Linked DNA regions of Rhinolophus ferrumequinum. The protein of the gene in region 1 purifies or fractionates together with the protein of each later gene. This does not show direct contact. Links are inferred from orthologs where the notes say so. Each region holds a gene or a part of one and is shown on either strand. Other genes may lie near its edges.

What was found. The genes of interacting proteins can lie anywhere in the genome.
Region 2: the proteins of USP10 (region 1) and YAP1 purify together in Homo sapiens (affinity purification with western blotting; 4 studies listed by BioGRID). This does not show direct contact. The link is inferred for Rhinolophus ferrumequinum from reciprocal best matches to the Homo sapiens genes USP10 and YAP1.

What each region holds. Positions count from the first base shown.
Region 1 is NC_046298.1:30,044,686-30,048,431, forward strand, and holds the start of USP10 (ubiquitin carboxyl-terminal hydrolase 10), read left to right. Parts: upstream 1-769; 5' UTR 770-882; coding exon 883-903; intron 904-3,746. UniProt on the Homo sapiens protein: Hydrolase that can remove conjugated ubiquitin from target proteins such as p53/TP53, RPS2/us5, RPS3/us3, RPS10/eS10, BECN1, SNX3 and CFTR.
Region 2 is NC_046294.1:71,674,237-71,677,982, forward strand, and holds the start of YAP1 (transcriptional coactivator YAP1), read left to right. Parts: upstream 1-1,430; 5' UTR 1,431-2,121; exon of another isoform or gene 2,122-2,241; 5' UTR 2,242-2,339; coding exon 2,340-2,660; intron 2,661-3,746. Other genes in the region: CFAP300 (cilia- and flagella-associated protein 300), read left to right, coding at 1-156. UniProt on the Homo sapiens protein: Transcriptional regulator with dual roles as a coactivator and corepressor. Critical downstream regulatory target in the Hippo signaling pathway, crucial for organ size control and tumor suppression by restricting proliferation and promoting apoptosis.

The DNA.
Region 1 (3,746 bases):
ATTTTATTGGTCTCATTTGTAGGTGAAGAAACCAAAAACTTAGGAAAAAGAAGTAGCTTGCCTGGGATCACTGAGGTTAGAAACCGTGCCAAACCAGATGGTAAACTGCGTGGTCAGGTAGGGGGCTCACTGTCTCTTGAACCAATGACCCAAAAGCTGGTCTAGCTAGATACATGTAGTATGTGTGTAATAGGTAATTGAGCGTGCTTATTCTATGCCAGGCCTCAACGCTATGAGCTTTACAAGTGCGTTGGTTGGTTTGGTTTTTAATATTCTCCAATGCCTGGCAAAAGGCGTGGCACCGGGTAGGTGGAATGAATGAAGAGTGAATAAGTGAATGAATAAAAGGAAATGTGATCTCCATACACCAGGGGACTCCTCCGGAAACTCAGCGGTCACTTCGGAGACCCTGGGTTAAGGAGACCCTGTGGTTCGGGGGACCCGGACCGACCTCAGGGCCGCGGTTCCCGGGCTCCCGACGTCCCGAGTTCCGCCCAGCACTTAGGTGGCCTCCCGCAGGTGAGAAACCCAGGCCTGCGGGGCGTTTTGGCGTTATCACCTCCATCCCCTGCCCTTTCCTCTTCCGGCATCGCAGCCGGGGTCCAGGGGTTCGTCCTCGGCGCACAGCAGGCCCGCATCCGCGGCAGAAAAGCGGGCTCAGAGTCCACCCAGGGCCGGCTCCCGCCGCGCACGCCCACCTGTCGGCCGCGCATGCGCAGCGCGCACGCGGCGCGCCCGGCCTCTCCGCGCCCCGCGGCGCGTGGCCAGTGCGCAGGCGCGGCGGCCGATGCGAGTGTGTATGTGCGAGCGAGAAGATGGCGGCGACAGGGGTAGCAGCGTGAGGAGCCGGACGAGCGTGGAGGCTCATTGAAACGGGCCGCCATGGCCCTCCACGGTCCACAGGTAGCCGCCGGCCCGTGCCCTCGGCAGGAAGGGGCCCTGAGCCGCTGGCGGGCGGGCTCCGGGGCGGGCGGCGGGCGAGCACCCGCACCCTGGCCGGGAGCGAGCGTGTGGGAGTGGGGGAGGGCGCCGGGACACGCTGCCCGGGAGTAGGCCCCGAGCCTCCCGCCGCCTCCGACTCTCGGCCTCCCACAGCCCCGGTTCGACCCGCGCCAGATCCCGCTGGGCCCCCCTCTCGAGGGAACAGTGGAGAGGGGGCGTCCGGGCCCTCTCGGAGAGGACGTGGGAGGGCACGAAGGGGTTAATCTCCTGGGTTGGACCGCGCCGGCGGTGGAATGGGGCCCTTGTCGCCCCAAGAAGCAGCCAGGGGACTTCGGGAGGCCCCCGGGGTGGCAGAGGCATCTAAGCACTGCGGGGGCCTCTCTGCCCGGAGCAAGCACCAAGATTTGGGGGTGCCCCGTTTCCCCCTTGCTTTCAAAGGTTGCTTTCTTAGCTTGATTGACCACGGAGGGCGGGGAGGCTTGCTGGTTTTCTGGTTTTTAGACTTAAGTCACTAAGGAGCAGCCTTAGGTTACTGTTGCAAAGAAAACTCGAAATAAGTCGCAGGACCGTACTTTTACTTGCATTTGAGTGACATCTTTTGCTCGAATCCACTCAGCCTGGATGACACGCACTCTGTCACAGCAGTATCTAAAGCTTAGGGGCTGTTTGTAATAATACAATAGTGGAAAGAAAGTAAAATACCCCTTTCGCTTTTAGGGAGGTGTATGTGTACAGTTGAACTCGTATCTCCGGCTCCCCCCTGCCCCCGCCCCGTCTCTTTACAATCAATCACTCTGAATAAAAAATCGGCATGTGGTATTATTTGTCAAGCTTGCTGTAGACCGCCGATTTATTGATACATAATCCCGATAAATTATTGCACACTTTTATACCATTTCAGTGTTCTTTTGTATTAAATATGGGGAAATGAAAGTAGTTATTGGGAAAACTGGTGGCGGGTAAATCCTAACCCTTTTTTATAAGCTATGAGTTTTTGTTGCTGTTTTGGAAATGAAGTCGATTTTAATAATGTAACTAATGCGTGTGGAATTTAAAACGCGAAAACTTTTTTCTTTTTAAATTTATATCTTACAGGAAACTGCAGTTTCTTTAAACTTTTGGTACTTTAGTTTGCACTAGAAGTTTCCCCCTTTAACTTGCTGTTCATGTGTACATTTACTTTTTTTGTGTTTAGTATAGTTCTTTGCACAGAAAAGGGGCTTAGTAGTTGAATAATTTTCACAAATGTGTAATTAAAAGATTTTACGAGTTTTGGTATTTGCCTTTTCTTCAACTTAAATATTATTGTAAATAGTTTATTGTTAAAATAAGCATGGACAGGTACAAGGTTCATTGTGAACTAATATAATATTCTTAGTGATTTTGAAGTGGAATCGTGTGGACATAATTCACTTCCATTACAAGCACCAATCACGATGCTGAATTGATTAAATGTTAATTAGTGGTGATAATATGTAAACTTAATTGTAATTTTACTTGTATTCATTGTCCTAGTATTTATGTTTTATACAACAATATGGCCTATACACATCTTTAGAAAATAGGGAGTGGCAGAAATCTGAACATAAATGTTAGCAGCACTTTGGGTTTATTCTTTCAAAGTGATTTTTAAATGCTTTTGAGTTATAGTGTGGAGAAGCTAACAAAGGAAATGGTATGATTATTTCTCGTAACTTTTTAAAAGCAATAGTAATGAAAACAAGTAATGAAATCATATGTGACAGGATTTAATGAGGGGATCCTGCTTGAGTCAGGCTGAGTATTTTAATAAATTCCTTTTATTCAGTAACCTTCTGTCTTGAGAATCCTCCAGCTTTAATTGCCATTCATTCGTTAATTCAACAAATATTGATGGAGCACTTACACTGTTCTAAGCAGATATTTGTATTGCTTGTTTACTGTTGGGAATGACAACCACAAAGGAACAATAAGGGTCCTATTTTGGAATTGGATTGTTAAGGTTACAATTTAAAAATTTTGTATAGATTATATTTTATTTCCATACTGTTGATTGATCCGTGTTCTCTGGATTGACATGAAACAGTGCAAAACTCAGAAATGTTTCTAATGTGAATAGCTTTCAACATTTTAACAAATACAAATGATGAACTTTGACAATTTAAGTGTAAGTATATCTCTAATTTGTGAGTATTTGTTGTCATGAGGGAACTGATGAAATGATTTGGTATAATTAACTTGAACTGATCAGTTCTGCCTTAAACCAGAAGAAATTTTGTGATCATTGACGTTAATTACAGTGAAATCCCCACAATAATGCTTCCTGCACCCTGTTTGGATATCATGTGGCTGCTCCTGTCCTGGCCCTCTGTAGCAGGCTCACCCCAGTCTTTCAGTTGCCTCGAAATAGTGAGCCTCCCATATTTTACACTATGGAATTTCTTGGATCCAATTTACAGCATGTGGCAGAGTGTTTCCTCATCATTGAATATCTTTATAGCTGATAGCGGTATTAGTAATTCTTTTTTTGTTTTTTTTTTTTTTTTGCAATTAAAAAATTTTTTTCATTAGGGGAACAGTGTGTTTCTCCAAGGGCCATCAGCTCCAAGGGACCATCAGCTACAAGTTGTTGTCCTTCAATCTAGTTGTAGAGGGCGCAGCTCAACTCCAGTTGCCGTTTTTAATCTTCAGTTGCAGGGGGTGCAGCCCACCATCCCATGCAGGAATTGAACCGGCAACCTTTGGTTGAGAGCTCTCATCTCTAACCAGCTGACCCATCTGGACGCCCCTCCGGAAGCTCAGCGGCAGCTTGTCTTCAGTCTAGC
Region 2 (3,746 bases), on another chromosome or scaffold:
GCATGGTTTCTGCCCAAAGGCTTTGTGTGGATTGATTACTGGATAGGCGAGGAAGGGGCTGCCAGCAGCATCCTGAGTGGGGGTTGCTGCAAAGGAGAGGCTGTGTACTTACTACATGTGAAGTGGTCTGTGAACATGGACAACAATGATAGCTGACGTTTACGCAGAACTCATCGCAGGCCAAAAACCGGGCTACGTACTTACTTTATACCCATTGACTCATTTAATTCCTCAACATATGAAATAGCTGTTATTACCCCTAACCCCAATATTAAAGAAATTAAAGAACAGGAAATAAGTAACTTGTCCAATGTCTCACAGCTAGTAAATGGTGGAACTGGGACCTGAACTCGAATCTCTGTAACTTCAGAACCTACAAGTTCATGGTTAAATGCACTTAACATTTTTGGTATGGGAGTGGGGATAAATCTAAGAAGCAATCAGACATCTTTGAGGGGGATTCCTTTCTCACATGCAATTGGGGTCCAGAGCAGTTGATTAGGACCTTGCTTTAGAATCTCGAGGGCCTGAAGCCTCTTCCCCTGGCCCTGCCCTACCAAACCAAATGATACACATCCCTCCTCAAAATTCTCCTGGGCAGGTCCTGGCTGGAGGAAGATTACCTTTTTGCTCTGGGGACTTTTTCTTGCTTCAACCTATTCATACATCTGATCCACTAGCGTTATAGACAACATCACTAAAACAAGAAGTTAGATTTTCTTTTAGAATGGGCTAGTGGATTTAAAATCAGAGTGATGCTACACAACTCTGAATACACTAAAAACACTGAGTTTCTTAAATGGCTGAACTGTATAGTATGTGAATTATCTCAATAAAGCCGCTTATTAAAAAAATCGGAATGTATGAGTTAAATTTTGTTTTCATTGCTTTTAATGATTTCAAATGGACTCCTTGCACTACCACATGGAGAATCAGGTGCCTGGGTGAGCTCCTCTCCCATTCATTTTTTCCTTCAGTCGACATTCATGGAGTCCACCCTTGTGCCAGGCACAGAGATAACAAAAAGGGGTGGGCTCACACCCCCTTGAGGATGAAAGGCAGGTACAGAGAGGAATGCTTCTAGCCAAAGTTGAGCACTGATTCTTTGCGCTGAGGTTTTCATGACTATGTTGCAAGTTTCAGTGGTTAAAAAAAAGGTTTTCACTTTTAAATAAGGCAATTTTGTATTTTAGTAAATTACTAGTCACTGATTAATCTCAGAGCTTCAAATTCCAGTAATCGTTTATCCCTTTCAAGGAGTTTTTTTGCATATTACAAAGTGAAAAACATCAAGTTAATGTTTTTTAAAAAAAGGACCCTTATTAAAATAAGTGCCTGTTACGGGTATCTATATTCACTCCAACCTATCCTTGAGGCTTTAAACCCGCATTGGCACTCCGGTTGGTCCAGTCGAGCTAACGCGAGGAGGGTTTAAGTGGATTTACGCGTCCCCTCCCGACGTCTTTCAGCCTTAAGCATTTCGGGGCGAACTGAGAGCCTTTCAGCCTTTCCCGAGGACTGGCCGGGAAAGGGCCGGGCTGGGCGGGAGGACTTCCTGCGGCCAAGGGCGGCCGCGCTCGCAGAGACCAGAGCCGACCCAGACGGGACCCAACGTTGGTCGCCGGGCCGGCAGCGCTCACAGCCCGGATCGACGGGCGTGCTCCCGGCCCGACCGGGAAAAGCCCCGGCGGAGGCCTGGGCTGAGGGCGACTTGGTCACGTGCGGCCGGGAGGGGCGTCCGAGGCCGGGAGTCTGCTGGAATGTAGTAACTTGCAGGGGAAAGTTTCCCTTGGCGGCCGGTCCCGGGACCGGTGCGGGCGGGCGCGCAGAGGAAGGAAGAGCCTGGAGGAGGCGGAGCCGGAGAGCGGCTCGGGCGGGCGGTTCTCTCAACTTTAGTTTTGGCGTTTGAGGCGAGTTTCTGTCTCAGTCGGGCGCAGCCGCCGCCAGGGAAAAGAAAGGGAGGAAGGAAGGAACAAGAAAAGGAAATAAAAGAGAAAGGGGGAGGGGAAAAGCAACAAGCTGTCTGGCATCCGTCAAAGGAGTGAAGGAAAAAAGTTCTCAGGCGCCGCAGGTCCGGGTCTCTCGCAGCCCCTCCCGAGGCGCAGCCGCCAGACCAGTGGAGCCCGGGCGCAGGGCGGGGGCGGAGGCGCCGGGGCGGGGGATGCGGGGCCGCGGCGCAGCCCCCCGGCCCTGAGAGCGAGGAGAGCGCCGCTCCCGCCGCCCAGCGCAGCCCGGCCCGCCGCCCTCGCCGCTTCTCCGGTCTCGGCCCGTCGAGCCGGGGCGCCCGGGCGGAGCCCTCGCCCGCCTGGTCGGGGTGCGCGTCGGGGGAGGCAGAAACCATGGATCCCGGGCAGCAGCCGCCGCCTCAGCCGGCCCCCCAGGGCCAAGGGCAGCCGTCCGCGCAGCCCCCCCAGGGGCAGGGCCCACCGTCCGGGCCCGGGCAGCCGGCACCCCCGGGGTCCCAAGCGGCGTCTCAGGCCCCCCCCGCCGGGCACCAGATCGTGCACGTCCGAGGGGACTCGGAGACCGACCTGGAGGCGCTTTTCAACGCCGTCATGAACCCCAAGACGGCCAACGTGCCCCAGACCGTGCCCATGAGGCTCCGGAAGCTGCCTGACTCCTTCTTTAAGCCGCCGGAGCCCAAATCCCACTCCCGACAGGTAACCTCGCCGCTCCTCTGCCTACTTCCCCGTCGGGCGGGCCCCGGGCCCGGGGGCGGTCGGGAGCGGCGGTGGCCAGCCCTGGCCGGGAGGTGGGGGGTCCGGGAGCTCGAGCGGGGCTGGGCTCTCGCAGAGAAGTGGAGGAACCGGAGGCGTCTGCTGGGCCGCGGTCACCGGCTCCCCGCTCCTCCCGGAGTCTGGAGCCGAGATTTGTTTTTCCCCTCGGAGTTTCTCTCTGCGGTTGCAGCCCCGGGGGGCGTGCTTTCCCCCTACTTTCTTTCTTTCTTCCTGGGGTTCCCGGGAGGTTGGCGGGAGTGGCGGGGGAGGTGGGGAGGAAGGAAGGGGGTGGGGAGAGCCGGCCCGGGCCGCGGTGGGCTTGCACAATGCGCGCGCCTCCGCGCGCTCAGCACCTTCGCTCCCGCCGCCGCCGCCGCCGCCGTGGGGAGGGGGAGGGGGGCCTCTGGCATTTGTGTGTGGGTGAGTTGCCAGCGGCGGCCGAGTTTGTGAAGTTGAGCCCCGAGCCCCCTTTCCTTCGGGGCCTCTCGGTCCACTTCAGGCTCCTGGAGAGTCAAATAATTGTTCTCTTGTTTTCCAGTGTTGATTAGGGGTGGGGGTTGATCCAGTCCCTGTAGTTTCTTACTCTTTCTCCCCCTCCCCCTCCCGAAAGCATTTATTTTCCTCGCGGCCCCGGCGCTTTATGAATACAGGATCCAGACTTTCCTGGAAGTTGTTTATGGAGTTAGTGCTTTCACCCCTGTGTTTCCCTTGTGCCTTGGAACTCGGGCAAGCTCACTCTTATCAAACTTAGTAGGTTCACGTGTTGATTTCCCAATTGTAGGCTATTATTTACAGTCTGCTGAAATGCTTTTAAATTAGCCACATCTGCACGTTGCGCAGGACCTGAGCTGCGCTTTACCGTGCCTTGGTTTTAACACAAGCCTTTGAAAATACACTGCAGGTTGACTCATCGCCGAGTCCTGCCTCGTTCAACTGTGATTACAAGTTAATGTTTGGGAAGCGATGACTAATTCGAGACTCGCCATTGCTTTTTAATTCTTATTGAGGATATGAACATGGCTGGTCGCC